Linked DNA regions of Coturnix japonica. Each later gene encodes a partner of the first gene's protein in a complex. Links are inferred from orthologs where the notes say so. Each region holds a gene or a part of one and is shown in the gene's direction. Other genes may lie near its edges. The genes, in order: ARMC7, SF3B5, spliceosome-associated protein CWC27 homolog, SNIP1, RBMX2, SNRPD1 and EFTUD2.

The links.
Region 2: ARMC7 (region 1) and SF3B5 share a complex: the UniProt entries of both Homo sapiens proteins name them as parts of the minor spliceosome. The link is inferred for Coturnix japonica from reciprocal best matches to the Homo sapiens genes ARMC7 and SF3B5.
Region 3: ARMC7 (region 1) and spliceosome-associated protein CWC27 homolog share a complex: the UniProt entries of both Homo sapiens proteins name them as parts of the minor spliceosome. The link is inferred for Coturnix japonica from reciprocal best matches to the Homo sapiens genes ARMC7 and CWC27.
Region 4: ARMC7 (region 1) and SNIP1 share a complex: the UniProt entries of both Homo sapiens proteins name them as parts of the minor spliceosome. The link is inferred for Coturnix japonica from reciprocal best matches to the Homo sapiens genes ARMC7 and SNIP1.
Region 5: ARMC7 (region 1) and RBMX2 share a complex: the UniProt entries of both Homo sapiens proteins name them as parts of the minor spliceosome. The link is inferred for Coturnix japonica from reciprocal best matches to the Homo sapiens genes ARMC7 and RBMX2.
Region 6: ARMC7 (region 1) and SNRPD1 share a complex: the UniProt entries of both Homo sapiens proteins name them as parts of the minor spliceosome. The link is inferred for Coturnix japonica from reciprocal best matches to the Homo sapiens genes ARMC7 and SNRPD1.
Region 7: ARMC7 (region 1) and EFTUD2 share a complex: the UniProt entries of both Homo sapiens proteins name them as parts of the minor spliceosome. The link is inferred for Coturnix japonica from reciprocal best matches to the Homo sapiens genes ARMC7 and EFTUD2.

What each region holds. Positions count from the first base shown.
Region 1 is NC_029533.1:9,330,498-9,334,442, forward strand, and holds ARMC7 (armadillo repeat-containing protein 7), read left to right. Parts: upstream 1-1,557; 5' UTR 1,558-1,680; coding exon 1,681-1,747; intron 1,748-1,825; coding exon 1,826-1,969; intron 1,970-2,430; coding exon 2,431-2,768; 3' UTR 2,769-3,400; downstream 3,401-3,945. UniProt on the Homo sapiens protein: As a component of the minor spliceosome, involved in the splicing of U12-type introns in pre-mRNAs.
Region 2 is NC_029518.1:41,251,540-41,254,068, reverse strand, and holds SF3B5 (splicing factor 3B subunit 5), read left to right. Parts: upstream 1-1,329; 5' UTR 1,330-1,382; coding exon 1,383-1,643; 3' UTR 1,644-1,865; downstream 1,866-2,529. UniProt on the Homo sapiens protein: Component of the 17S U2 SnRNP complex of the spliceosome, a large ribonucleoprotein complex that removes introns from transcribed pre-mRNAs.
Region 3 is NC_029547.1:21,428,601-21,432,010, forward strand, and holds the end of spliceosome-associated protein CWC27 homolog, read left to right. Parts: intron 1-1,671; coding exon 1,672-1,847; intron 1,848-2,300; coding exon 2,301-2,565; 3' UTR 2,566-2,710; downstream 2,711-3,410. UniProt on the Homo sapiens protein: As part of the spliceosome, plays a role in pre-mRNA splicing. Probable inactive PPIase with no peptidyl-prolyl cis-trans isomerase activity. As a component of the minor spliceosome, involved in the splicing of U12-type introns in pre-mRNAs.
Region 4 is NC_029538.1:3,338,258-3,342,703, forward strand, and holds the start of SNIP1 (smad nuclear-interacting protein 1), read left to right. Parts: upstream 1-1,560; 5' UTR 1,561-1,584; coding exon 1,585-1,736; intron 1,737-1,818; coding exon 1,819-1,915; intron 1,916-2,771; coding exon 2,772-3,355; intron 3,356-4,016; coding exon 4,017-4,281; 3' UTR 4,282-4,446. Other genes in the region: DNALI1 (axonemal dynein light intermediate polypeptide 1), read right to left, coding at 1-130, 213-349, 1,350-1,430. UniProt on the Homo sapiens protein: Required for pre-mRNA splicing as component of the spliceosome. As a component of the minor spliceosome, involved in the splicing of U12-type introns in pre-mRNAs. Down-regulates NF-kappa-B signaling by competing with RELA for CREBBP/EP300 binding.
Region 5 is NC_029519.1:1,522,343-1,526,506, reverse strand, and holds RBMX2 (RNA-binding motif protein, X-linked 2), read left to right. Parts: upstream 1-1,362; 5' UTR 1,363-1,411; coding exon 1,412-1,416; intron 1,417-1,498; coding exon 1,499-1,614; intron 1,615-1,762; coding exon 1,763-1,814; intron 1,815-1,892; coding exon 1,893-2,022; intron 2,023-2,144; coding exon 2,145-2,325; intron 2,326-2,739; coding exon 2,740-3,185; 3' UTR 3,186-3,693; downstream 3,694-4,164. Other genes in the region: RAB33A (ras-related protein Rab-33A), read left to right, coding at 829-1,284; SLC25A14 (brain mitochondrial carrier protein 1), read left to right, coding at 4,003-4,066. UniProt on the Homo sapiens protein: Involved in pre-mRNA splicing as component of the activated spliceosome. As a component of the minor spliceosome, involved in the splicing of U12-type introns in pre-mRNAs.
Region 6 is NC_029517.1:39,382,146-39,386,352, reverse strand, and holds the start of SNRPD1 (small nuclear ribonucleoprotein Sm D1), read left to right. Parts: upstream 1-1,407; 5' UTR 1,408-1,584; coding exon 1,585-1,598; intron 1,599-2,150; coding exon 2,151-2,227; intron 2,228-3,316; coding exon 3,317-3,508; intron 3,509-4,207. UniProt on the Homo sapiens protein: Plays a role in pre-mRNA splicing as a core component of the spliceosomal U1, U2, U4 and U5 small nuclear ribonucleoproteins (snRNPs), the building blocks of the spliceosome.
Region 7 is NC_029542.1:775,989-780,405, reverse strand, and holds the start of EFTUD2 (116 kDa U5 small nuclear ribonucleoprotein component), read left to right. Parts: upstream 1-1,456; 5' UTR 1,457-1,594; intron 1,595-2,068; 5' UTR 2,069-2,069; coding exon 2,070-2,174; intron 2,175-2,417; coding exon 2,418-2,583; intron 2,584-2,745; coding exon 2,746-2,824; intron 2,825-4,034; coding exon 4,035-4,110; intron 4,111-4,379; coding exon 4,380-4,417. Other genes in the region: CCDC103 (coiled-coil domain-containing protein 103), read right to left, coding at 885-1,027. UniProt on the Homo sapiens protein: Required for pre-mRNA splicing as component of the spliceosome, including pre-catalytic, catalytic and post-catalytic spliceosomal complexes. Component of the U5 snRNP and the U4/U6-U5 tri-snRNP complex, a building block of the spliceosome.

The sequences.
Region 1 (3,945 bases):
TATAGTTGTCCCAATACGTAGGGCAAGCACAGCTTAATTACCACCTGTTTTAACATCTACAGACAGTGGAATAACCCCGGACTTAATGACTGACAAACACTAATGCTGCAGCCAGGTTACAAACCTCTGACAGCCAGCAGAGCAACAGGAAATGTCAGGAGACAAATAACCCTCACCCAGTCCCCTCACACTCTTTCCTGCTCCCTCTGTCATTAAATGTATCGTTAACTTTGCGAGCTAAACATATTTTGCAACAAGCACCTTTTCCTACTGCTATGAAACATTCACCAGGAAGTTCATTTGAAATATTGCAAAACTGTGAACCTTATAAGACTCAGATAGTCTGCCAGGGTAAATCTTGGAAAACTTTAATTAAAAACAAAACAAACAACAAACAAACCCAAAAGGTCACGGCAAACTTACGTACTCTAAAACACCTCAGAACTGCAAAATCACTCAAATGAAGAGTTTGGCAAAATTTGCAGACCCAGTCAGTAACTGCAAGAAAAGAAACACACCCACCAGAACCTGAAATTGACCAAATTCTAACTCTGTTGAGATATCAATGGGCACCACTGTCATTAGACTACCCCTAAGGCTGTTAATACCACAGCTATGCTCAGGCAGCCTGTGCAACATGGACAAAATATGGCCCACATCACCCGCACAAACAGCCTGAGCCAGCACTGCTGCCAAGAGATGGTTGTGTACGACCAGGAAAACTTCCTGCAGCATTGCAGCACACGGTGATGATCAGATGCACTCAGTCATGTAAGCAGCACGAGCACAGCCTGCAGCCCTTACAGAACATCTCTGCAGACCACAGACCTGGGAATGTTACCAAACTCTATGGGACAGCTCAAATTAAATGCACAATGTTCCTCACATCCGTTAACCAGCCTGGATTAGACTCAAAACAAGATAGAATCTAGAAGCAGCAGAGCACGCAGCTCGCAGTGAGGTGAGCAGCAGCGCTGCAGTGTGACCCGCAGGGTGCAGCTCTCGGGGATGCACCACCCGACCAGCACGGGCTGTTCCTAAACGCTGCTCGCAGTGAAATCACTGCAGGGGACAAAGTTCCCATTGGTTTTGTGCTTGCAAAATCCTACTGACTGCCCACACACACACACGGTACCTGGGAACTCAGCGCTGCATTTTCCTCCTCCAATGCAACGCGCTCCTCCCCTTATTGCTCAGTCCCACTGTCCTCAAACACTTCTGTCGGTTTGCTTCTCCTTGTTTGCTTTCTCTTCTCTGCCCTTCTCACACCAGCCCCGCTCTGGTCCATATTAGTAATGACAGATGTCGCTTCAAGTGCACTAACACAGTTACAGGCACGAGAAGCACACGCGGGGGTGTAAATTCTGAGGCCTGGGGGGCAAGCAACCAGGTGGCAGGGAAAGGTGAAGAACTGTGCAGAACAAAGGGGGGAAACGATAAAAACACGTGTTTGCCAGATACAGAGTGCAGCAGTGATATGTGCCTTCACTTATTGACGCACATGAGCTGCCCACAGCCCGCCCCGCACGCGGAGCGCAGCCAGCAGCCGCACCGCCCACAACATGGCGGCCGGGGAGTAACGCCCACAACATGGCGGCCGCCGGTGTCCGGAGCGCCCCGTTGTGCCCCGTGCCGGCGGCGCGGTCCAGCTGATCGGCTGGTTCTGGTTCTCAGCTCGGGATGGAGCTGGGCAGGTTGGAGTACCTGCAGGCCCTCGTCACGGAGTTCCAGGTGACAGACAGCCCAGGTAACCCCGCGTACAAAAGCGAAATCTCCATCTACCACAGCCCCCCTTGCCCCGTTTGACGCGTTGCTTCCCCGGCAGAGGCCAGGCGGCAGGTGCTGGCCAACCTGGCCAACTTCGCCTACGACCCCAAGAACTACGAGTATCTGCGGCAGCTCCAGGTGCTGGACCTGTTCCTCGACATGCTGACGGAGGACGACGAGACCCTGGTGGAATTCGCTATGGGTGAGCACAGCGCTGGGTGCGCCCCGATGCTTTCCCTGTTTCTCTAAAACACAGGTAACAAACCGGGGAAAATGAAAATAAACGCTGCAGCCACACGGCGCCATAAATGCCATCACTGCACTGAGATGGACAGGAGAAAATAAAAGGCAACGTAGGGCAATTAAAAACCCATCATTTAATTCCTGGTACCTTGAAGACCGATTGCCCCCTTACCACACAGGGAAACTGTCTGTGCATGTTGCCTTAAGAAAAGTAGTAAAGATGGAGTGTCCGTCTGCGGACAACTCAGTGCCGGCACCACACAGGTCAGGGCCCAACTGCTGGTACCAACAGACGGAACGTGCTCCAGCTGCTGCCATTCATTCCCAGATGAGGTGCCCTTCAGAGCATGGAGTGTGTCCGGATGAGGCTGCAGAAAGAATCTGTCTTGCATGTGTCAGATGCTTTTTTCGCTATTTCAGGTGGTCTTTGCAACCTGTGCTTGGATAAAACTAACAAAGACTATATCCTGGAGGCCAATGGGGTAGAGCCCATAATAAACTGCCTCTCCAGCTCCAACGAAGAGACAGTCATGTCAGCAGTCACAGCCCTGATGTATCTGACAACGCCGCAGTCGTGCCAGCAGACCACAGCTCTCCCGGTGGTGGAATGCATGCTTCGCTTCTCCCTGTCGGCCAGCAGAAGGCTGAGCAATCTGGCCACGATCTTCCTGGAGGATTATTGCACGCCCCTGCAGGTGGAAGAGGCCAGGAACCTGAGCAAACACACAGCGGTGGGGATTCCTCTCCCGAAGGATTGAAGCTGTCAGAGCAGCTTGGAGCTGCTGCGAGGAGCACCCCCTGTTTGCTCAGGTCTGCACCTAATGCTGAGTAGGTCAAGAGTGTGATGAGAACAGTAAAGCAGGAAATCAGACTAGCATTGGATTTTAGTTAGTATTGAAAAGGACCATACAGCACTATAACAGGCCAAGAACGTGGCTGAAAATGGAAGCAAATATTTTAAATAAAAAAGGTGATGGCTGCTGTGCAGCTCTGAACCAGCTTACAGGTATAACCCTTATAGCAGTTACTTTCTCTGCTCGGGTTATTGTTCAGCTTGTATCACTTCCAGTTCCTGGCTGATTTTGCCACAGCTTTCCAGTGTCAACTCAGATGACTTTGAAATGACCCAAACTTCATCCCTCCTGCAGAAGAAATGCGTTTCCCTGCCCTGGTAATTTGCAATCCTATTACATACCTTTGGTACTATACATACTGTCTTATCATCCTGCCCTAGAACAGGTGATAGCTATCCCATAGGTCAGGAAGCAGAAAGCTGTATTTCCCTCATTACCACTGGTGAGAAAGGTGCAGGTAGGAAAAGGGTTTATGGCATTCAGGTTCACAAGAAAAGCCTTTTCTTAATAAAACATTAACGGAGCTGTTGTGTAAACAGTTCTGTGTAAGCTCGTAAATGTTCCTGTACAGCTCTTGCAGCGCAGCCTCTGCTGCTCCCACTAATGCACGTGGGCTGGGAGTTGGAGCCACTTTGCTCTCCTTTTATGATCAGCCAATCGTGCAAAAGGTAACCTGGAGCCAGGGCGGCAAACTGCCCAAAGGCATAGAACGGGGTGGCCCTTTACCACGGTGCTTCTGAAAGGCTGCGAGTTCCAGAGTTCTGCTTTCTCCCCCTCCACTCAGCTCAAAACACGCCATAGTGAGCTTACACCACAGCTGGCTGTTTGTCTTTATAGTTATTCTTCATAACATCACTGCGGCTCCGGCCGCACCAGGACGAGGCACCGTGAGGTGAACCCCGCAACCCCCGCATGAAGCCGAGCGGCCCCTGGCGGCACCACGGCCCCGAGTGGAACCTCCGGCCACAAGCGGGTGGAACTGCCGGCCTGGCCTTAGTGCGGGGCCAGGCGGCTCCGCTGTGCGCTGCGGGAACCTTCATCGGACGGCTGGGCGCGCTCCAACTGCACTCAGTGTTTAGGA
Region 2 (2,529 bases), on another chromosome or scaffold:
CAACAATTTTTTTGCACTATTGTACTTGCAGAATAAATGAATATGGTTAAGAATAGAGGAATTTCTTAAATATATATATATGTATATATATATATATAAATGACACCCTTCATTTCATCACCTGTGTGGGCTTTTATTGCAGTTATCGTTTAAAGTAATCCTTTCCCCTTTTTGGAGGGGCAGCTATGTCTTTTTCATTCAAAGAGCCTACAGGAAACGTGAAAACACGGCTATACCTTGAAGGGGACAGTCACTACCACCCTCTATTGGTGCATCTGCCTCATCTACTCTGTTCCTTTTGATCTTGCAGCAGAAACCCACAGCTCCCGTGCAATGAGTACGGAGTCGGTACAGCTCTGACACCCAGCGGCCACTTCACTCTCGACCGGCTCCTGAATTCCAGACAGTTTCAAACTCGGCTTTGACTGATTGTTGCTTAGAAGATAGATAGTTTAGGGTATTATATTGTTTTATTGTTTTGACACTGCTTTGCATGGCCTTGGCTTCATAAGATGCTCATTTATGAAGAAGCGGCCTTGAATCATCTGGATTAGATTTCCGTGGGTTTCTTTGGACTATACAGCATTTACAAAGAAATAGCTTGAAGCATCCTCTCAGAAAATTGCTGGCTACGTGTCTTTCCTATTTAAAAGCAAATAATTAAAGTCAGCACTCCCATGTGACAGCATGTATTGTTCCACACTTATTAAATTTAACATGGATTTTAAAACTAGAGAAGAAAAACTGCTTATTTGATGAATAATAGAATGTATTTCATTCCCAACTTTGACCAAGTTTGATAGGTGATACAAATTATAATTTACAAGTTTTATATCTGATTATTCTATGATCAAGAAAGACTACTTATTTGATGAATCATAGAATGTATTTCAGTCCCAACGTTGACCAAGTTTGATAGGTGATACTAATTATAAGTTTTCTATCTGCTCATGAGTTTAATATCCACATGAAATATTACCCACATCAACAAAAGAAAAATAATTTCCAATGGTAACATTTGATCCTAGCTTAAACATAGCCCTTGTGCCTGCCCAGCTGCAAAGTTTGCCTTTGCCCACAGAATCATTAAGGTTGGAAAAGACCACTAAGGTCAAGTCCATCCATCAGCCCATCCCTGCTGTATCACTATGTCCCTCAGTGCCACGTTCAATTGGCTCTTGGACACCTCCATGGTCCAACATGTCCAATCTAGGACTACACCCCCCGACATGCCTTTATAAACCCGCATATTCTTCCCCCCCCCCCCCCTCATCCGGGATAGTCGGCGAAATCCCCCCCGCTCTCCGTTATGGGAGCGGAAAAGGATCCCTTCGTCCTGTGGCGTCATTTCCTGCCGCCATTTGACTTGCAGGGGCAGCGCCATGACGGACCGCTACACCATCCACAGCCAGTTGGAGCACCTCCAGTCCAAGTACATCGGGACGGGCCACGCCGATACCACCAAGTGGGAGTGGCTGGTCAACCAGCACCGCGACTCGTACTGCTCCTACATGGGCCACTTCGACCTGCTCAACTACTTCGCCATCGCCGAGAATGAGAGCAAGGCTCGCGTCCGCTTCAACCTGATGGAGAAGATGCTGCAGCCGTGCGGGCCGCCCGCCGACAAGCCCGACGAATCCTAACCCGTTGCCCTGCACACCGGCTCCGGGCTGGCTGTGACTCCACACGCCGCGGGGAGATGGTGGGAGCCGCCCCGATCCTCGTGTCCACCGAAGGGAGCTGCAGGGAGAAGGAAGCTCTGTGTAACGCCCTCTCTTGGACACTTTCGTTACGCTCAGTTGCACGGCTGTTCGCCCTTTGTGGTTTTTTTTTAATGGGAAATAAAATCCGCTGTCTGTTTCTAACGTGTTGTGTGGTAATCAACAATAGCAGGACACGGGGAAATGGTTTTAAGTTAAAAGAGGGAAGATTTAGGTTGGATGTTTGGGGGAAGTTTTATTCCTAATGGAAAATGTCAAAGTAAAGCCTGGCTAAGGTTGTATGTGAGTTTACCAGTGGCTTTTTTGAAGTTGGTGACCTCAGAATTTCTGAGCAATAAACGCCTCATACTCTTTACCAAGCCTTATAATCTAAGCTGCTGAAGATGCTGCAGTAAGAACAAGTGCATGCACTCCTGAGGTCACATTCAAGCCATAATATCCATCTGAAGAACTCAGGAATAGATTTTGTTGTTGCATGTACTACAATGAGGGCAAAGATGAAATGATCCTGAATCAAATGTAACCTGCTACATATGTGGGGACTAGTGCTGTTTGCAAGCCATTGTAAACAATGTGAGCAACAAGTGTAAGGCACATGGGCAGAGCTGAACGCCTCCTTCCTCCAGGCCATCTCTATTATATGAGCAAGGCTGCTTTCAGGGAGAAGTCTGAGTTTTGGCTGAGAAATTTGGCTTTCCACTGTGATCTCCATCTCATTTTCCTAAATTTATGTAGTTTAATCTCAGATAAAGTGAAGTGTGAGAGAAATAACTTGTTTCCGATGCAGATGTGCACTGTGTTTGTCACG
Region 3 (3,410 bases), on another chromosome or scaffold:
CATTTAATAGAATCATAGAATGGTTTGGCTTGGACAGGGCCTTTAAGGTCATCTCATTCTAACTTCCTGCTATAGGCAGGGACACCTCCCTCTAGAACAGGCTGCTCAGAGCCCCATCCAGCCTGGCTTTAAATGCTTTCAGGGAGGGGGTGTTCACAATTTGTCTGGGCAGCTGTTCCAGTGTCTTACTACCCTTACAGTAAAGAGTCGCTTCTTAATATCTAGTCCAAATCTGCCTTCTTCCTGTTTGAAGCCATTTCCCTCCATCCTGTCACTACATGCCTTATAAAAAATCCCTTTCCAGCTTTCCCTTAGGACCACTTCAGGAGCTGGAAGGCTGTTATAATGTTTCCTCAGGGCCTTCTCTACTCCAGGCTGAAGAGCTCCAAACTCCCTCAGCTGTCCTTAGAAAGGAGGTGCTTCAGCCTTCTGATGATCTTTGTGGCCTTCCTCTGGACCCACTCCAACAGCTCCATGTCCTTGTGTTGGGGACCTCAGAACTGGACACAGTACTTCAGGTGGGATCTCACAAGAGCAGAGGGGCAGAATCACCTCCCTCGACCTGCTGGTCCCTGTTCTCTTGACGTAGTGCAGGATACCATTGGCCTTCTGGGCTTGTCATGGAGTTATCTAGATCAATCTATGTCCATGGCGGGGGGGCTGCAGTCCCGTGGGACCCCTGGCCCCTGAAAAATTGGAAGTGAAAAGGGAAAGGGGTAGGGAGATGGGTGCTTGGCTCAAGGAAATAGATGGAGCATCAGCAATGATCTAAGGAGGAAAACTTATTTTACTGTGATATTGGAAAGCAAGATAACACAATATAATACAATCCAATTGAAATTCTGGCTAATAAATTAAGTAAAATAAGAGACAAAGAGAGTTTTCCAAAGAACGAGGAGCCTACTTTGAGATTGAAGGCTCCACGGCTTGGAAGCATGCCCACATCCACTGCCAGTCAGTGAGGGAGAGAGCCTGTGTCCCTTCTGTGACGTTTCCCTCTCTGACCTTGAGGTCCTCTGGGACGTGTAGTTCTTCTAGTTCTTCTCTGTGTGCCACATGATGTGGAATCCCAATAGCAAAAATTACAAAACCATAACAGGCTGCAAGAGCACATTTCTGGCTCATGTTGAGTATTTCATCAACCAACACCCACAAGTCCTTTTCCAGAGAGCTGCTTTCAAGCTGTTTTCTGCCCAATCTGTATCTGTGCCTATGGCAGGTGGGATGTCATGAGGGCAGAGTGAAAGGGGGACAGTCACCTCCCTCTTCTATCTGGCCACCCTTATGTTGATGCAGCCTAAGATACAGTTGGCTTTCTGAGTTTCTGGTTTTCTTTTAAGGGAAGATTAATTAAGTGTTTAGTATATTGCCTTGAACAGCTTTTGGCTCCATGAACAATAATAAAACTATTAACATATTGTCATGAGACCTTCTGCATACCTTTAAGGGCTTAAAGTCTGACTGTTTTCATTTTATTTTTTAAGTGATACAAAAACATTCTTGAAATTTTTCTTTGAAGTAATTGTAATAATTGTGGATTTTGCTTGTTAGTTTCTTTGTCTGTTGTGGTAAAGGATTGTTTTTGTGAGTTGTTGTTTCCATATTCAAAACTCTGTAGTTAAAAAGCAGAAAAAAAACCTAAGGAATTTTTTTCATATCCTATCAATAAAGGAGGAAGATGAAAATGATGAAGATGTTGACAGCGTAGAAGGTGAAGCTGCTAGCAATGAGAGATTTCAAATGAAAGAACGCATTGCAAAAAAGTTGAAAATTGATACAAGTGAAACTGTTAAACCTCCCCTTCAAGAGCAAGAGACTAAGATGGAAAAGAAAACCACCAGTCGCAGGTAAGTATCATGCATTATTTTTCTCCTTCACCTTACAGTTATTTGCTGTTCAATTCCAGTTTTGCACTTACTGCTTTTTTTTTTTTAGTACTGCATCAAATTTATCAGCCTCCCTCAACCATAAAAGATGAAACTGCCTGTTGGTTTCTCAGTTCTAAGCTTCATTTGATAGTTTAGACTTGAATCTAGTTATTGGTAAAAGAGGGAGAGAAAACCTCTGGACCAGACAAAAAAAGATCAGTGTTAAATATCCTTATTGTAGGATGGAAAGGAGGGGTCAGAAATAAAGGAGATATCCAAGGAAAGCTTTTTTCTGAAAAAGGGTTGTTAAGTACATGGAAGCCAAACATCTTTACAATAGCAAAAGACATTGTGTTCTGCATGTGCTCTATACAGCATTGACGTTGCCATACATCATGGATACAGTGTTCAGTTTTGCACCCCTCTCTACAGGAAAGACATTAAGACCTTGGAGCGTGTCCAGAGAATGGCAACAAAGCTGGTGAGGTGTTTAAAGCATGGGTTTTATGAGGAGCAACTGAGAAAACTGGAATTAGTTTGTGGAAGAGGAGTCTTAGGGGGGACCTTACAACTCACTACAACTATCTGGAACTGTGGCGAAGTGGCATTTGGCCACTTTTCTCAGGGAACTTGTGATAGGATGAGAAATAATGGCTTTAAGTTATACCAGGTGAGGTTCAGGGTGGGTATTATGTAAAATTTATTTTCTGAAGAAGTGGTGATGTAACAGGCTGCCCAGGAGAACAGGTGAGTCACCATCCCAGGAGGTTCTCAGGAAAAAGGTAGATGTTGCACTGAGGGACATGGTCTAGAGTGATCACAGGCATGAGCTGATGGTTGGACTAGATGATCTTAGTGTTCTTTCCAACCTTAATGATTCTAAGATTTGCATGTGTTCAATGGCCTGCCAACCAATCTGCTTAACTACTTGTTGGGTTTTGCAGGAATGGCTACTAGATCCAAACTTGTGTAACATGTAGTTGCAGGATCTCAGTATGAGGTTGACATAAAGCTTGAGCATACTATTAGGAGTGCTTGCATTATACTTCTTCACATTTCATAGATAATTGTGTAAGCAGTCTGTGAGCTGCTGTCTCTTCCTGTGCAAGTTGTGCGAGTTGTGTTTGTGGTTATTGTAGTAGTATTATAGCCAAATGGAGTATCTTGACTTTTAAGTGAGATTTATTGGATACATTCTTAGTGATTGAGAGTGGTAACCCTGGGAGTACTGTGTAGTACTACAGGTTACACCAGTTTCTAGAATCTGTTGTTTTCCAAATGACCAGGCATCCTGTGGCATGTAAATTAAAAGCCTAGGTTGTTTGATACAAAGAAGGTGCTAGTAACATTGCCTTTGATGAGATAATCAGCCGGTTATCAAGTTTCATTGTTTAGAGTAGTGGCCTTTTTTTAAGTATAGCAGGGGCAATTGATAGTATTCTCTTGGGACTTCACCTGCCACTATTGTACAAGTGTGTGTGACAGAGGAAACGGATGAGGTATGACACAAAGGGTTTGATCCACCCTACTTATCTTGGAGAG
Region 4 (4,446 bases), on another chromosome or scaffold:
GCCGGTCTCCCTCGCCTGCCGCTGTTGCAGCTTCAGATCCAGCTGCTCCTGCAGCTGCACGACGTCCAGCCGGGTGCTGGGAACACTGGACACCTCCTGCACCCACAGCCGGTTATCCTCCTCCCATGACCTGCACCGGAAAGCAGCAGCGATGGAGCTCGGCGGGGCGGTCCTGAGTTAAGGCTCTTGTTGTTCCCCCCTCCCCGGCTCACCGCGGCGGTAGGATGGCGTTCAGGATCTCCTGAGGTTCCTTCGTGGAGGCGGCGGAGGCGGCAGCAGTGCGAGGTCGGGACGGAGGGACAGGGCCTGATGGCGGGGAGGCCTGTGGGGTTCCCTTCAACGGTGAGGCCTGAAGGGAGAAAGCGGTGTGAGCAGGATGGGTGAGGTGTGAGGGCTCCCCCCGTCCCATTCAGAATCACAGAAACACAGAATTATCAAGGTTGGAAAAGACTTCACTAGGAGAGTGGTGAGGCCCTGGAACAGGCTGCCCAGGGAGGTTGTGGATGCCCCGTCCTTGGAGGTGTACAAGGCCAGGTTGGACGGGGCCATGGGCAACCTGATCTATGGGGTCTCTATGGGGATCTATGGGGTCTCTATGGGGGTCTATGGGGTCTCTATGAGGATCTATGGGGTCTCTATGGGGATCTATGGGGATCTATGGGGGATCTATGGGGTCTCTATGGGGTCTCCTGGGCAACCTGATCTAGTAAATGTGTATGTTTGGTGGCCCTGCTTGGCAGGGGGGTTGGAACTACATGATCCTTGAGGTCCCTTCCAACCCGGGTCATTCTGTGACCTAGAAGATCATCTAGTCCAACCATTCCCAATACTTCCCAGCTAAATCATATTCATCAACACAACATCCAGATGTTTCTTGAACACTCCCATGGTCAGTGACTCCACCACCTCTTTGGGCAGTGCATTATAATGCCTGACTACCCTTCCTGAGAAGCAATACTTCCTAATATCCAGCGTGACTCTCCCCTGACACAGCTTAAAACCATTCCCTCTACTTCTATCATGGATTAGAGGCTCACTACAACCTCCCTTCTAACTTCTAACTAAGGGAGTTATAGAGGGCTATAAGGTCTCCCCTGAGCCTCTTCTTCAGGCTGAACAACCCCATCTCCCTCAGCTTCTTCTTATAAGTCCCCATTATGCTCCAGACCCCTCACCAGCTTCATAACCCTTTTCTGAATGTATTCTCAATGTCTTTCTTGCAGTGAGGTGCCCAAAACTGAACACAGGGGGACAATTACCTCCCTGTTGCTGCTAGTAACACTGGTTTTGATACAATATAGGATTCCTTTGGCCTTCATGGGCCATAATATCGGTTCATATTCACTCACCTCTGGTGATCGCTTCTCAGTACGGCGACTCACCAGCATGGGCGGGTTATAACGCAGCAGCGAATCGGGCGGTGGGATCATGGCGGCTCCTCGGTCGCTATGGTTATAAACGCCGCTCCGTTGTTTGTTCTAAAGGCGCATGAGCGTTAGGTAAAGATGTAGTTCCGGGTGGTTGAGAGAGAGGTAACACGGATGTGAAAACGTAATTCCGGTTGTGGGGGGAGTCGGTAGCAAGATGGAGGCTGAGAGTGAGAGGAGGAGGAGGGAGAGAAGGAGGGGGGAGATGGCGGTGAAGGCCGAGAAGCGCAGCCCACGGAGCTGCGGGTCCCGTTCGGCTTATGGGAGCCAATCCCCCCCCATTGAGGAGCGACGGGGCAGGAGCAGCAGGTAGGAGGCCTCATAGGGCCTTATTACGGCCCTGTATCGTAACCCTGAGGTTCTGTGCATTTCTTGTGTACTTGATTTAAAGGTCGCCTAAAAGGAAGAGTAAATCCGGCCGGAGGAGCAAATCACCGCGGGGGAGGAGGAGCAGGAGTCCGCACCATGGAGGTGTGAGGGTAAAGCAGGTAAATGGCGTTGGGAGAGGCCAGGCCCCACAGATCCCCATAGAGACCCCACAGATCCCCACAGAGATCCCATAGACACCCCATAGAGCCCCATAGAGACCCACTGAACCCCATACAGACCCCATGCAGACCCCATAGAGCCCCACAGACAACCCATAGATCCCCAAAGACACCCCATAGATCATGTTGCCCATGGCCCCGTCCAACCTGGCCTTGAACACCTCCAAGGACGGGGCATCCACAACCTCCCTGTGCAGCCTGTTTCAGGGCCTAACCACTCTCCTAGTGAAGAACTTCCCCCTAACATCCAACCCAAATCTTCCCTCTTTTAACTTAAAACCATTTCCCCGTGTCCTGCTATTGTCAGCCCTTTCCAAGAGTTTACTCCCCTCCTGGGAGTAAGTTCCCTTCAGGTATTGAAAGGCTGCAATGAGGTCACCCCGCAACCTTCTCTTCTCTAGGCTGAACAAACCCAACTCCCTCAGCCTGTCCTCATAGGGGAGGTGCTCCAGCCCCCTGATCCCTCTAGAATAACTCTTAAGGAAGAGAGAGTCTTACAGTGTAACATCTCCTTGCTCTCTGCTTCGTGTTTTCCTGGAAAGAACTGAGTGTTTGTACCTTTTAGTGAGCCCAGCCCCTGTTATTCCTGTAAGAAAATGAGTATTTGTGCCTTTAAGTGAGCCCAGCCTGCAGGCTGACCCTGAAGGCTGATGTTATGATGCATTGCTCTCTGTCAGCCTTGCATTGTTGGGCCCAAGTTGTGGGAATTCACTTTGGAAGGAAATAAATAAATCTAGATATACACGTACCATGTTACAGTCTGTGTTTTTCATGTGTTTTCTGTCTTCTTCCTCAGGAACGAGACGATCATCCTCACAGAGGAAATGAAGAGAGAAAGCAGAGACACACGTCAGAGCAAGAACACAGACGAGATAGAAGCGGTGACAGAGACAGGCACAGAGATCACTCAGACAGGAGGAAAAAGGAGGAAAGACCTGGAGGTCGAGGCCATGAGAGAGAAAGAGATGTTCAGAACATCCGTGAGCAACAAGCAGAGAGGGAGTTCTATAACGAAAGAAGACGAGAGCATCGACAGAACAACGAGGGGAGCGGTGCTGAGCAGAATCCAGAACACAAACAATCTGATAACAAACCAAAAGATAAAGCTGTAAACAAAGAAAAACCAAGCTTTGAACTGTCTGGTGCCCTTCTGGAGGATACCAACACTTTCCGAGGCGTTGTGATTAAATACAGTGAGCCCCCAGAAGCTCGGATTCCAAAGAAACGATGGCGTCTCTATCCATTTAAAAACGATGAGTTCCTGCCTGTCATGTACATTCATAGGCAGAGTGCTTATCTCCTGGGCAGGCACCGCAGGATAGCAGATATCCCCATTGATCATCCCTCCTGCTCAAAGCAACACGCTGTGTTCCAATACCGGTCAGTATCGCTCTGTATCCCTCTGGTAGGTGGGGATTATTTGGTCGCTTGCGTGCAAAGGGAATCAAAGAACGTATTGGATGTGCACAGATTAGAAAATGCATGTTTGCTCAATGGTTTTAGATAGGTGGAATTTAGGTATGGATGTAACATATATGTAATTCCTTTTTGTTTAACCATAAGCAGCCTCGTGACTCTTAACATATATATAATTCCTTTTGGTTTAACCATATCTAGACTTTTAGTAAGAAACACAACACAACAGGATGAAATACAGAACTGCCTGTATATCTGAATTGGAGTTATTAGCAGGTGGGATTGGCAATAAAGAACGTTTAAAGGAGGGTTTTTCATTTGTTCCTTCCCAACAAAGGCTGCCGATCTCCTTTATAAACAGCAGGGTTGTGTGCTTCAGGAGGCAGAGCTGCTCTCTTAAGGAACAACCATCTGTTCTGCTTCAGGATTTACTATGTTATATGATCATAACTTTAAGGGGTGAAGCAGTCTGTCAGAATCTTGAGTATTTCCGTGCCCTGTCTAATTATTCTCATTGTACTTGCTCAGATCTTTGAAGTATGGTTAAGTATTTACAACAGTGGGGCTGATGTGTTGAAAAATCCATGTGTTATCATTGACTTGATGGGTTGTTTTTGTTTTCTAGGCTTGTGGAGCACACACGCGCTGATGGCACAGTTGGCCGCAGGGTAAAGCCGTATATCATTGATCTTGGTTCTGGCAATGGTACTTTTCTAAACAACCAGAGGATTGAGCCTCAACGTTACTACGAACTGAAAGAAAAGGATGTATTGAAGTTTGGCTTCAGCAGCAGGGAGTACGTCCTTCTCCATGAATCATCTGATAAATCAGAGGCCAACGCAAAGGACGATGATGAGGAAGAGGAGAAGGAGGAAGAGTCCGATAGTTAACAGACATGAAGGCAATTGGGGATGGGGGAGCAGGGGAGAGGAATCTTTTACAATAAAACATGCATTGGGATGGAGATGTTGGAGCATCAAAGCACTGGTGCTTCTTATTGCCTTAAAGTCCTTCTGTTGCTGACTGGTTCTTATGGTTTATTGTGGGGGACTCCA
Region 5 (4,164 bases), on another chromosome or scaffold:
CCGTGTGCTCTGACATTGTGTCTGTACTCCTCTCAAGTCACTTGTCTCACCTTCCACCTTCCCTGTACTTCCTCTTTGTACCTCTTGGTATTTTTGCTTGACTTCCTCTTTGTTCACATGGGCAGCTCAGAGGTGGAGGCACATCAGTATTGGGTAGCTTTCTTTGGTCCCATTTTCCTATAGGTCCTTGACCCACAGGACTCTTTCAGAGCCACCTCTTGGTTAATGAGTTGGCTTTACCTTCACAGCTGCCCTGCTGAAGCTGGCCCAGCGTAGCAGCTTCCCTCGCTGGCTCTTCTATCACTTGAGTTTTGAAGTTGGAATCTCACGCTTTAAGCTGTGCTGTGTTGCCCCTCCAGCATACACTGGAATGGCTGAAGGCCTCCAGAAGGGCCTAAGCCTGCAAACATGAGACTCCCATCTGTCTGCAGAGGGCACCTTCCATTTACTCTCCCTGATCAGGCTGGAGCTGCACACTGCCCTGTCTCCATGGCTCTCGGCTCTTTAATCCTTATTGTTTGCCTGGTTCCTCCCCCAGACAGAGCTCCATGCAGGAACGCCGCTCTCTTTGCCCTGCCTCCTTTGTGGATACAGAGCATCATTTCAGTGTCCTCATACAGCACAGCATTAGGTGGGTTGGTGTGTTAGTCTGTTCTGACACGAGCAGTGCTGTGTGCAGTTTGACAGGGATGATGGCTGGGTACACCAACATGGGGCAGGTAAGTCACCGGGCTGGGGCCTTTCACCCCTGTAGCACAGCAATGAGCAGAGCAGCAGCACAGCATCCTGCAGCAGCAATGGCTGCTCACGCCGTGTTGTGCCCCATAGGTGCAGGTGTGGGACACGGCCGGGCAGGAGCGGTTCCGGAAGAGCATGGTGGAGCACTACTACCGCAACGTGCACGCCGTGGTCTTCGTGTACGACGTCACCAAGATGGCGTCCTTCACCAACCTCAAGATGTGGATCGAGGAGTGCAACGTTCACGCCGTGTCCCCCCTGGTCCCCAAAGTGCTGGTGGGGAACAAGTGTGACTTGAAGGACCTGATCCAGGTGCCGTCCGGCATGGCTCTCAAATTCGCCGACGCTCACAACATGCTGTTGTTCGAAACCTCGGCCAAGGACCCTAAAGAGAGCCAGAACGTGGAGTCCATCTTCATGTGCCTGGCCTGCCGGCTCAAGGCGCAGAAGTCGCTGCTCTATCGCGACATGGAGAAGCGGCCGGGCCGGGCGCAGAAGCTAGAGCCGTCACGTGACGCCCACGGTAAAAGCGCGTGTCCGTGCTGAGCGCCGACCAATAAAGCTGTGCGGAGCCCTCGGACTCGTTGCTTTGCTTGGCGCGCATGCGCGGCCGGGGCGGGGGCGGAGGCGGGGGGGTAAGGGGGGCGCATGCGCAGTGCGCGCCGCCGCCGCCATGAAGTAGGTTTGGATGGGGGCTGGGTGAGGGGGGGGTGTGCGACCGGCCGGTGCTAACGGTGCTAACGGAGTGCATCGCCCCCAGCCCGCTGACCAAAGTGAAGCTGATCAACGAGCTGAACGCGCGGGAGGCGGAGCTGGGCGTGAGCGAGGCGGTGTCGTGGCACGCCGAGTACAAGGACAGCGCGTGGGTCTTCATCGGTACGTGTAGGCCGCGATGGGGGGACGGGGAGGGAGGAGAGAGCAGGGCTGTGGTAGGCCCTGTGCTGGGCTCCGTGCTGGGCTCCATGCTGGGCTCCGTGCTGGGCTCCGTGCTGGGCCTCCATCGCTGCCCTGTCTCCCCCCGCAGGCGGGCTGCCCTACCAGCTGACAGAGGGGGACGTCATCTGTGTGTTCTCGCAGTAAGTTCCTACCTGCTCCATCCCCATCTTGCTGTGCCCCTCCAGCCCTGCTCTGTGGCTGCTGATGGTGTGTTCCAGGTACGGGGAGGTGGTGAACATTAATCTGGTGCGGGATAAGAAGACTGGGAAGTCCAAAGGGTTTTGCTTTTTGTGCTATGAGGATCAGAGGAGCACCGTGCTTGCTGTTGATAACTTCAATGGGATCAAGGTGAGTGATGGAGCTGTGTGGCTGCAGCAGCTCCTGGAGCGCTCAGAGCACATCAGAGAGAAGCTCCATCGGCTGCTGGCCCCACAGCACACGCTTTGCTGACTACCTGACTCCTGTCCTAGATCAAAGGCAGGACGATCCGAGTGGACCACGTGGCCAACTACCGGACTCCCAAGGACTCCGATGATTTAGATGATGTCACAAAAGCCCTCCATGCAAAGGGCTGCGGAGTGAAAACACCACCTCATACGTCGTCAGATTCCTCCTTGGAGGATGAAGACACGCCAGCCCAAAAGCAAAAAGGTGAAATGCATTTCTGCCCATCTTTGCCCTGGGTGGGAGGATCTGTGTGGGCTACAGGGACTCTTAGCTCAGCGTACAGCAGGGATAGGGATCCTCTTGAAAACAGATGCAACCCGAATGTCCAGGCTTATCCTCTGTGATCTGCGTCACACTGCCAGTATTTATCTATGATCATTCACCCCCTGCCTCTGGAGATCCTTATTTTGCAGGTTATAGTGGCACTCTTCCTGGAGAAAAGGAGTTGGGCTGGGCTGCAGGGATGTTGCAAGGGGGAGGGGGCAGGACAGTGGGGGACAGGGAGAAGAAAGGCTCCAATAAAGCCTTTCTCTACAGAGCTCTGGTGCTCTGTAGCAGAACTGGTGGGGATGATGCTTGCAGGACTGTCCATCTCTAAGGATGACCTTTTTGTTTCAGATAAAGAGAAGAATAAACATGAACGGCAAAAGCAGAGCTCTCAGGCTGCAAAGAGAGCAGCACCTGCCGAAGAGGCACATCCGAGAATCAAGATTAAAAAGGAGAAGGAAGATCCTGGCTACGAGCGATATGCTGCTGGTGGGGGTCAGCAGTCCTGCAGTGAGTCTGAGAGGAAACACGTGAGCAGGACGCAGCGAGATGAGGAAGAGCAGAGACACCAAAGGTCGTCGGGGAGGAGAGGGGAAAAGAGCTCCCAGGAACACAGAGGGCAGAACAGCTCACGGGAAGAGAGAGGAGAGGTCAGCAGGAAGGGTGAGGGACACAGCAGCTGGCGAGAAGAGTGTTCTGAGGGAAGCAGATCCAGGCACCGGCGGGAGAGCAGCAGCAGAGAGCCCCATTCCAAGCACAGGGAGCGTGGATCCACCAGAGATTCCAGCCGTCACTGAGCCCTGGAGTGAGCACCTTCTGGGCCACAGCTGTGCTCTGTGAGCTGCACCGGGAGCCTGTCTGAAGCCTCCTGCTATGGCCCTAAGGGTACCACAGCTGTGTCTCGTCTCACACACACCACTCTGACCGGTTCACTCCTCAGACAGGTTGCTCTCAGTGCTGTGGGCTGTGATGTGGGCTCTGCTGCTGCCTTGCTCGGCCCTTCTGTGCAGTGGCATCACTCAGACGGTTGTGGAGGGGCTCACGGCACAGTGTGGGCAGTGGGGTGCTGAGCAGCAGGATACGGACACCGAAACTGCCCACGTTGTTCAGGGGGAGCGTCCCTGTCTGCAGTGGGGCGGTGGGTGCTTGCAGGCGGGCACGGTGCTTTGTGCCCCCAGCCCGTCCTGCTTCCTTTGTTTATGTGATGGATATCAGAGGCTGCTGAGCCATCGCAGTTCATGGCGTTTTTTGTTTTAAACTCCTTTTAATAAAAATCGATCCTTTAACCAGAGGAGATGACTGGGAGCACTGCTTGTGTCCGGTTGTGCTGTTTGGACTGAGCATTGATGGCAGCTGACACAGAAATGGGGAGCGCACAGCAGTGGATCTGAGCTGCGCTTTGCTCTCGGGGTGGTTCCGGTCGGTCCCGTGCCTGCAGCGCTCTCCCGTCTCCTCCCCGCCGTTCTCGGGCGGTGCCGCTGGATCCCAATTGCGGGCCGAGCTGCCGGGTCCGCCCGGCTGGGGGGCGCAGTGCTTCCCGTTCCGCCGCGCTTCCGGTTCCGGGTGGAGTTGAGGCAGTGTCCGGCCCGGCGCGGCGGCGCGCCCCGCCATGCCATGTCCGCGCTGAACTGGAAACCCTTCGTGTACGGCGGGCTCGCCTCCATCGTGGCCGAGTTCGGTGAGCTGCGGCGGGTACCGGCGGGTACCGGCGGGTATCGGCGGGTACCGGCGGGTACCGGCGGGTATCGGCGGGTATCGGCGGGTACCGGCGGGTAC
Region 6 (4,207 bases), on another chromosome or scaffold:
AGCTCTTGAAAATACAGGTTTGGGTTTTTTTTTCTTTTCTTTCAATGGATGTAAATGAAATCAAAGAATGTAAAACTCCTTGCAGGGTTTATCAAACCTTCCTTATGCTAAAGGCCCAAAGTTCTCCATCACTTTAAGAATGGTTGCAATGCAAAGGTGAATTTGGTATTGTTTTTGCTAGTCAGCTGCTTCTGTTCTTGATGTTGTTGGAATAACTCACAAAAAAAAGGAGTATGGATCAGAGGAGGAGGTGTCACCCTAATGCCATGTTGCACTTGGGAGCAGCTTCTTGCTTTTCATGCATGATGTAACACACTTTAAAAGGAAAGGTTTTTTTCTTTAAAAAGCTACAAAATAACATGTGCTGGTTAACAATAAATGTGTGTCTTTAAATTTAGTGCTTCCAAGCTGTATAAAAAACAAGTAATCCTACTTGAGGACCAATTTTAAACTATTTTGTCACTTATTTTATATGGTTTGTTCAAAACCAGCCGTGAAACTTGCTTAAGGCGCTGCACATTGTTTAATATTTCCTGTAAGTACAGCTGTATATTCAGATTGCAGTTATAAAATGTAAATGGGGGGAGAAACGTGTAGAATCTTAGAGCTAGCACAGTTGTTGTTACTGAGGTTAGAACACAAAGCACTGATACTCCAGTGTTTCACTGTGTTGTGACTGAAACTGTGTACAGACTTTTGCAGTTATCTGTTCATTTTAACCTTGAATGTTGCTGGAGGCTTCTGGTTCTATGTGAGCATAACCTGCACATAAACATCAGTACTCACCATGCCTCTGTCTGCTTCTCGATGCTGTGCTGGGAATACCAATTGGTGGTTAACTGGAAACTCCTCTCTGACTTCATTTACCAGTGTCACCTCTGTCATAGACTCAAAGTGCAGGAACACCATAAACTCAGTATGTAATGGTTCTTACGGCTCTCGGGCAGCTGCCCTCTCAAACTTGGTTCTTTGCGGTTTGTTTAAAGCAAAACATAAAATAACAGATTTCATGTGGAAAAGAAGAGCTGTGGTGTGTGTGTAGGGATGGAGGGAGAGACGTGGGTTAACGTGGGTTCTCAGAGCTGGAGGGCAGCCAGATCTCAGTGCTTTACAAAAAGAGTCTGTATTGCAGAAATCACAACAGTGTACTCATCAATGATAATAAAAGGTCTGATTTTTCTAGATCCTGGCCGCTGCGTTTGTGTGCCTGAGCTCCTTATCAACTGCTTAACGTAGAAGCATCGCTGGTGCGGACTAGACTATTTGCACACAGCTACAGTGCTTAGATACGTATAATCCCGAGCCCACCATTCCAAAATGGCGGCAGCGCATCCCCTCAGTGCCCGCCCGCCCTCAGCCCCGCGCAGTCGCGCTGCGTCCCGCCCCTTCCGCCGCGCCGCTTCCGCCCATTGATCGCAGCCGGCGGCGGCCGCTCAATCTCTCGGGGCTCGGTGCGCTCGTTGGAGGCCGCGTTCCTGTCCGCCCGCGCTCGCGGCGCTTCCGCCGAGGCCTTTTCGTGCCCCCAGGGGCGGCCGCCGCTGCCCGCCGAAAGCCCCGCGGCCGCCGCGCCGTCCCGCCGGCGCAATGAAGCTCGTCAGGTGAGCGGATGGAGGCGGATCGCGGAGAGAGGCGGCGGGGAGCCCGCGCAGGCCGCCTCCCCCTCCCCACACACAGGCCGCCCGGCCTGTCGGGGCCTCGTTGCGGCCTGGGCTCTGCGGCGAGCGGCTGGGCCTGCGAGCGGGGCTGCCCGGGAAACCACCCCGGGGGGTTGGGGGCGGAGCCGGGTGGAAGCGCCTTCACGCGGTGCCGAGATCCAAAATGGCTGCTGCTTAGCTGGTGGTCAGAGAGCAGCCCGAGTTGGACGGGATGCACGAGGGATCCCGAACCCAACTCACGCAGGGCGCTCAAAACACAAACCCTGTGACTGGAAGCGTTGTCCCGACGCTGCTTGAGCCCGGTGCCACCGTTTCCAGCCCCTGGCAATTGGGCGCCGTTTGGGGCTTTGGCTTTGCCCCATGGAGCACCTTCAGTGCAGTTCATGGCAGCTGAGAACGTTTGCGTTAGGATGTACATCGATCGGTTCCCCGTATCAGCATGTGGTTGGACATAAGGCTTAGTGTGACAGCAAACACTCTGTGCTTAATTCCTAGGTTTCTGATGAAGCTGAGTCACGAGACTGTGACCATCGAGCTGAAGAACGGGACGCAGGTGCATGGCACCATCACAGGTACGGTGTGCCAGCAGCCTCCCAGGCTGATCTGAGCTGTGTGGGGTAAAGGAAACCGGTGCTGGCGTGGCTGGTGTAAGTGTGGTAATCTGAAATTACTGCAGCAGCATGCAGGCATTGTGAGACAGTGTCACTGCTGTATCAAAGGGCAGTGGTCATACAGCCTATCCACTTATGTTTCAGAACATTTTGGGGCTGGAACTTGAAGGTCCCTTCCAACTTAAACCGTTCTGTGATCTCATTGGTAAAGCTGCAGTACACTGTAGTTGCATCAAGAAGTCACCACTGAGTCACTGGCAGAGAGATATTTTTCTAACGGTAGCACAGATAAATGGTAAATGCTGAACATGGTTACAATCTACTGAGATGTAAGGGTTAAAAGCACGTTATTTTGCAGCCAGATCCGTCCATTTTGTTAGAAGCTGGCTGTGGTGGCAGCACTCTGTGCCTCCTACCCTTGTACTCTCACAGCCTTCGCTGTTGAGCAAAGTCTCTCTCATGCTGTGCTAAGAACCTGTAAAACCCTGCAGTGCCATCCATGGTTCTAAAATGACAGTCATCCCTGTACATGGGTGTACGAAGCCTGTTGCAGCCACGGTGCCACCTGCAGTTGGTGCTTCTGATGCTGATGTTAGATGTGTTTGATCAGAAGATCATGGTTGTACTTAGAAGGAAACGCAGTGTTATTTTTCTACTCAAAAGTTCGTTTTCTTTCTTTTGAAAGGAGTAAAAAAGACAAATATTATGCTTTTGTAGTAAGTGGCAGTTTATTTGTTGTCCGGAGGAATCATTTTAAGTGTTTAGTGTTGCTATGACTTAAGACCTAGGAACAGATCCCTACAGCTGGTGGTAAGTGGCTCTTCCTTTGGAAATATATCAGTGTTGAGGGCAGCAGCTGATAAATCAGCATAATTAATAGAGGAAAAAAAGATGTAGTTTCTTCTTCCACTTAAGAGGCTTAATTAACAAATGGCACAGATCCAGAAGCGTGTGTTAGCAAAGTCTTGAAGCACGTGCACAGTTAATAATAGCCAAAGAGGAGTCATCCTGTGTGTTCCCACCCCTGAAATCAGCCTTGTGTTATTTCAGGAGTGGATGTCAGTATGAATACTCATCTCAAGGCTGTGAAAATGACGCTGAAGAACAGGGAGCCTGTACAGCTGGAGACATTGAGCATTCGGGGGAATAACATCCGATACTTCATCCTACCAGACAGTTTGCCCCTGGACACCTTGCTAGTAGATGTTGAACCAAAAGTCAAGTCCAAGAAAAGAGAAGCAGGTGAGTGCATGATTTCCCAGTCTCTGCTTGTTTTACTTTGTGTTTTCGTGCTCTCGCTCTGAAGGCATGTGATTGGAAATCTTAATTTCTGTATTGCTTTCATCTCTGAGGGTTTGTACCGAACTCTGCCTTGTGTACCTTCATTGTGTCTGTAGTCTCCTTTCATGAGAAGTTATTTACACAGCTTCTCATGCATCTGTTTTAAAGTGTAAACGTCTTTAAGTGTGAGTAAATCTTAACCTATGGCATTCTCAGAGGCAGCACCAATGGGATGCACAGTTTCTCTTTTCAAAATGTCTGCTCTGTTTCCCTGGTTTCTGTGTGTAACTTTGTATTTAGCCTAATAAGAAAATATAGAGCAGCCTCAGGAGCGGTGCTGGACTGAAATCTCACTTGGCAGTGGATACAAACAATCTGCTGGAGAACCGAATTGAAGGGGCTTCAGAATGCAGAGGGAGCTGAGGCTGTGTTCCTGTGGATAAAGCCCTTAAAGCCTAACAGAATAGGGAATGCTTCTGGTTTTGTTCTGCGCCGTTAACAATTAATATCCAGTAAACTCCACAAAGTTTGTGTCTTCAGGCAGTAAAAGTTTTGCCCAGCAGTGTTAATCAGTGTGTCTTTCCAGAAATAAGTTAAAGGTAATCGTGCTCTAAAGCAACTGCTTGCCATTTCTCCTGTAATTTATGCTTAATTATTTGG
Region 7 (4,417 bases), on another chromosome or scaffold:
GAAACACACGGGTGATGGAATTGGCATTTCTACCCAACAGTTCCTGCAGCAGTCAGGGCCCAAGGACTGGCAGGACTCCTCTTTCTCCTGCGTTTTTCCTGGGGTACAAGTAAGATTTTATATCTTTGGGGCTTCCACAGGAGAACTCTTCCATTCTTATAGGCCTTCTTACTCAGCCATCCCATTACACCGACGTCTGTAACTAATTGCAGCAGCCTGGACTCAGCAGCTCATGTCATTCTTCTCATCCCGTGGGATGAACGTCTGTGCCTGTCGCTCGTTAGTCCTCCCAGTAACGAGATCTTCCAATGGGGTCAGGGCTCTGCTGGCCCTCGTGAGTGGGGAAACTGCACCCACGGAGAGAAGCTGTTCTGCTCTCCTGTGGATGGCTCCTGGCTGCTGATATCACACCACATTGCAGGCTTGAGTACTGAGTACTTGTGTACTGAGCAGGAATGTGTTTTTTGATCATATTCTAACAACAGAACTGCGGCACAGAGTCCTTTTACACGGACAAGCAATGCCATAAATGCCATTTTAAAGGTTTCCCTTTACTCAGAGCTGACAGCACGACCACATTAAGGCAGAATGAGGCTTCCAGCACTACATGCTCCAGCATGGGATGAGCCTGCCATGTGTTGGTCAAGTCCTGGATGTATCTACAGATCTCTCTGTGGATGTGAGGGGATGGGGCTGAGGTGGAGGACACTGGGGGCGTCCCGCACCACCTGCCCTCAAGGATCTTCCTGCTGCCATTCAGGAGCCCTGGGACATCCAAGGCAGGGCAGGCGATGGCTCCTGCCCCGGGGAGGCCCAGCAGCAGAGCAGGAGGAGCCCTGCGGGAAGGCCCAGCGTCTGACAGACCTGGGGGGCTCCGCTCCCACCTGAACTCCTGGTACGACCCCAGGCGCTGCCTCACGGCGCGGAGCTTGGCGTTATTCTCCCTCTCGTGCCTCTCGTCGGCCTCCAGCGCGGCCCGCAGCTCCTCCCGCAGCGCCGCCATGTCCACAGCTCCGCCCGCGTCCATCGGCTGTCGCGACAGTCACGACAGGAGCGCGACAAGCTGTGGGGATACGGATAAGGATAAGGATAAGGATAAGGATACGGATAAGGATACGGATAAGGATAAGGCTCCTGTTGTGACAGCGATACCCACTGAGGTATCACCTCAGCGGCAGCGTGGGCCCTGCTGCCATAATGGCTCGCAGCCGACCCCTCATGTCGCGATAGGCCGCCATGCCGACACACAGCACCCCGAGGGATTCCTGTCGCGATATCCCCCGCTGGGTCCCTCACTGGGCCGCTCACCCTCATTCCTATCGCGACAGGCCCCGCCCACGAGCCCCGCTGACCCGGCAGCCTCAATTCCTATCGCGACAGGGCCCAGCTCCGCCCGCCGCGCCCGCTACTCCCGTTGTCATGGAGACAGGGCCGCCTTCAGGACCCAACGAGGCTGCCCGCGGCGCGCCTGACTGAACCGCGCCGGCAGCAGCGCCGCTGTCGAACCGCCCGGGACAGGCGCCATGGGCAGCCCGGGTCCTTCCGCTGCGCTGTCGGCGGCGCCAACGGCGGAGAGTGAGCGGGGAACGTGAGGGTGAGTGAGTGGGGGGGTGTGGGGCGGGATATGGGGCAGGGGTATGGGGTATGGGGTATGGGGTATGGGGTATGGGGTATGGGGTAAGGGGAGGGAATAGGGGGTGAGGCCAAGAAATCAGGGCTAAGGGCTGGAGCCGGGGCCTGGGCCTTGGGGCTTAGGGCTTAGGACCGGGGACAGGTTCTGTGAGGCATGTTCTGGTATTGAGACCGGTTCTGTCCGTGGGGCCGGTTCTGTCCGTGGGGCCGGTTCTGTCCGTGGGGCCGGGTCTGTCCGTGGGGCCGGGTCTGTCCGTGGGGCCGGGTCTGGCTGTGAGGCAGGTTCTGGATGTGGGACCCATTCTGGATATGGGGCCGGTTTGGGCTCTGGGACTGAGGCTGGATCTGGATCTTGGTCAGGTTCTGGGGCTGGGATTGAGGCTGGGTTGTAGTTCCAGGGGTTCTCCCGGCTCTGACCCCATCTCTTCACCCCCAGCATGGATACTGACCTGTATGATGAGTTTGGGAACTACATCGGGCCAGAGCTGGACTCTGATGACGAGGATGATGAGTTGGGCCGGGAGTCCAAGGACCTGGATGAGGTGAGTGCGTGGCTGTGGCAGGGCTGTTCTGTGCTGTGCAGCCACACACAGCAGGTGTTAAGCATGTCCTGCCCCGTGCCTGGCTCCCATTGCAGGGAAGGCTCTGCAGGATGGAGCGTGCCCTTTGTGCTGTCAGTTCCCTGTTCCTCCTGATGTGTGACACCAAGATTTACCTCCAGCCACAGTTCAGGCTTATGAAACACTTTGGTGCTGGCAGCAGCTCAGTGTGAGTGTTGGTTGCAGCTCGAGGATGACGACGATGATGATGATATGGGGGACCACGATGAGGACCACCCTGGGATGGAGGTGGTGCTGCATGAGGACAAGAAGTATTACCCCACTGCTGAGGAGGTCTATGGGCCTGAAGTGGAGACCATAGTGCAGGAGGAGGACACGCAGCCTCTCACTGGTGAGTGGGGTTTAAATCATCTCATTTGGTCCCCCCATAGGAAGAGAATCTGTCAATTCAAAGCTGTGTTTTTTGTCTGCGGAAAATCCCCATTCGATGTTTGGAGGTGCTGGGTTCAGGTCACCCATAACAGTGTTTTATTGTTCTTTCTTTTGTTTTCAGAGCCTATTATTAAACCTGTGAAAACCAAGAAGTTCTCTTTGATGGAACAGACGTTACCAGTCACTGTCTATGAGATGGAGTAAGTGATGTGCAGAGTTTGAAGCTTTGTTTCAGGCCATCTGTGCTGCAATTTCCTCACTTCTCATTGCTTACAGGCAGGGTGGGGAGGCAGAGGGGTGATCTATATGGAGGCGGGAGCTTACAGGGGGGCACTGGGTTTGTTCTTACTAACAGCAGCAATATAAGCAAGTACAGCTGGCTCCCTGAGTCTGAACCAAAAAGAAGAGGAAGAAAAGCACAAGGCCAGCTATTTTACAGCTATTTTGCCATCCTCGTAGGCAACACGGTGCATTTCCTATTATTTTTCTGATCCCTTTGTCCTCTGTTTACTCCATCAGTAATTAATTCTAACTCCTGCTCTTCCTTGATGTCAATGGTTTGGATGGGACCACGCAGAAGTCCCAGTGGGACTTAACCAGAAACCTGCAAGCTCGCTATTGATTTCACATTTAGCCTTGGTTTAAGACCAATAGGCAAGCATTTAATTTGTATTCCTATCGATTTCTGTGTTTTTTAAGCTCTTAATCAAAATGTTGTATGCTAAAAAGCCTGCTTCATAAGTGAAAATTAAAGTGTTTTTGAAGAAGGAGATTATTTGACCGGACTTACTATCCGCAGATCCATAATAATCGATCCTTGGCTGATAGCTTCCCATTATTTTGAAGAGTAGCTGCTAATTTAGGCTCTCAGTTCCATTTTGGCTGGGATCTCTGCAGAAGTGACCAGCCCATCAGTCCCATCTCGTTGGTGATTAAAAACCATTTAAGTTCTATGACTGTTCCTTGGGTCCCTGGGAACATCAGTGTTTTAAGACCTGAAAACCAGAATTAAGACCTGCAAGTTAGAATTAATAGTCTGTGGAACCCTGTGGTTACCTTTTAAAAGTGTGTGGGGTGTTGTTATCCACCTCTGTGGTTTGGTTGACTACCTGCCACCATTGGAGCGGAAGCGTTTCCTCCTCCGAGTTGCTCTAATACTGTCTAGAAGAGAAGAAAGGCGTTCGGAGTATTTAATCTCTTGCAGTTTTACCAACTCCGTCTCCTCCCACCCACTGCCATCTGTCCAGGACTCCAACTCTCTTGTCCTCCCCATCTGCAGAGTGGGATTCTTCCTCCGCAGGGCATGAAAGTTTGGAGAGGATTCAGAGGGGCCCTTGGGTGCAAAGCGGCGCCTACTTTTCTTAGACACAGCAGAAGCCTCCAACAGTCTTTTGTGCTTCATCCCTCCAGTTTCCTGGCAGATCTGATGGACAACTCCGAGCTGATTCGGAATGTGACTCTGTGTGGGCACCTTCACCACGGCAAGGTAGTGTGAATATCCCACGTGCGTTGGGTAGCAGTAACGATCTCCCTGTTCCTTACTTTGACTGCTGCTCTTTTGACCCCCCAATCCCTGCAGCAGCCTTCTCTCCTGCTCCTGTTGCTCTGCAGTTATTCCTGGCTTTTCTCTCCGTCATGTGGAAGTATTTCTGTACCCCCTTTTTCTATGCGCCCCGTGGGAGGGCTGGGATTATGCTGCTGTTTATCTCTTTGAACAAAGTCCCATCTCTTTTCCCTTGGTTTGGTGTTTTTCAGACTTGTTTTGTCGACTGCCTGATAGAGCAGACGCACCC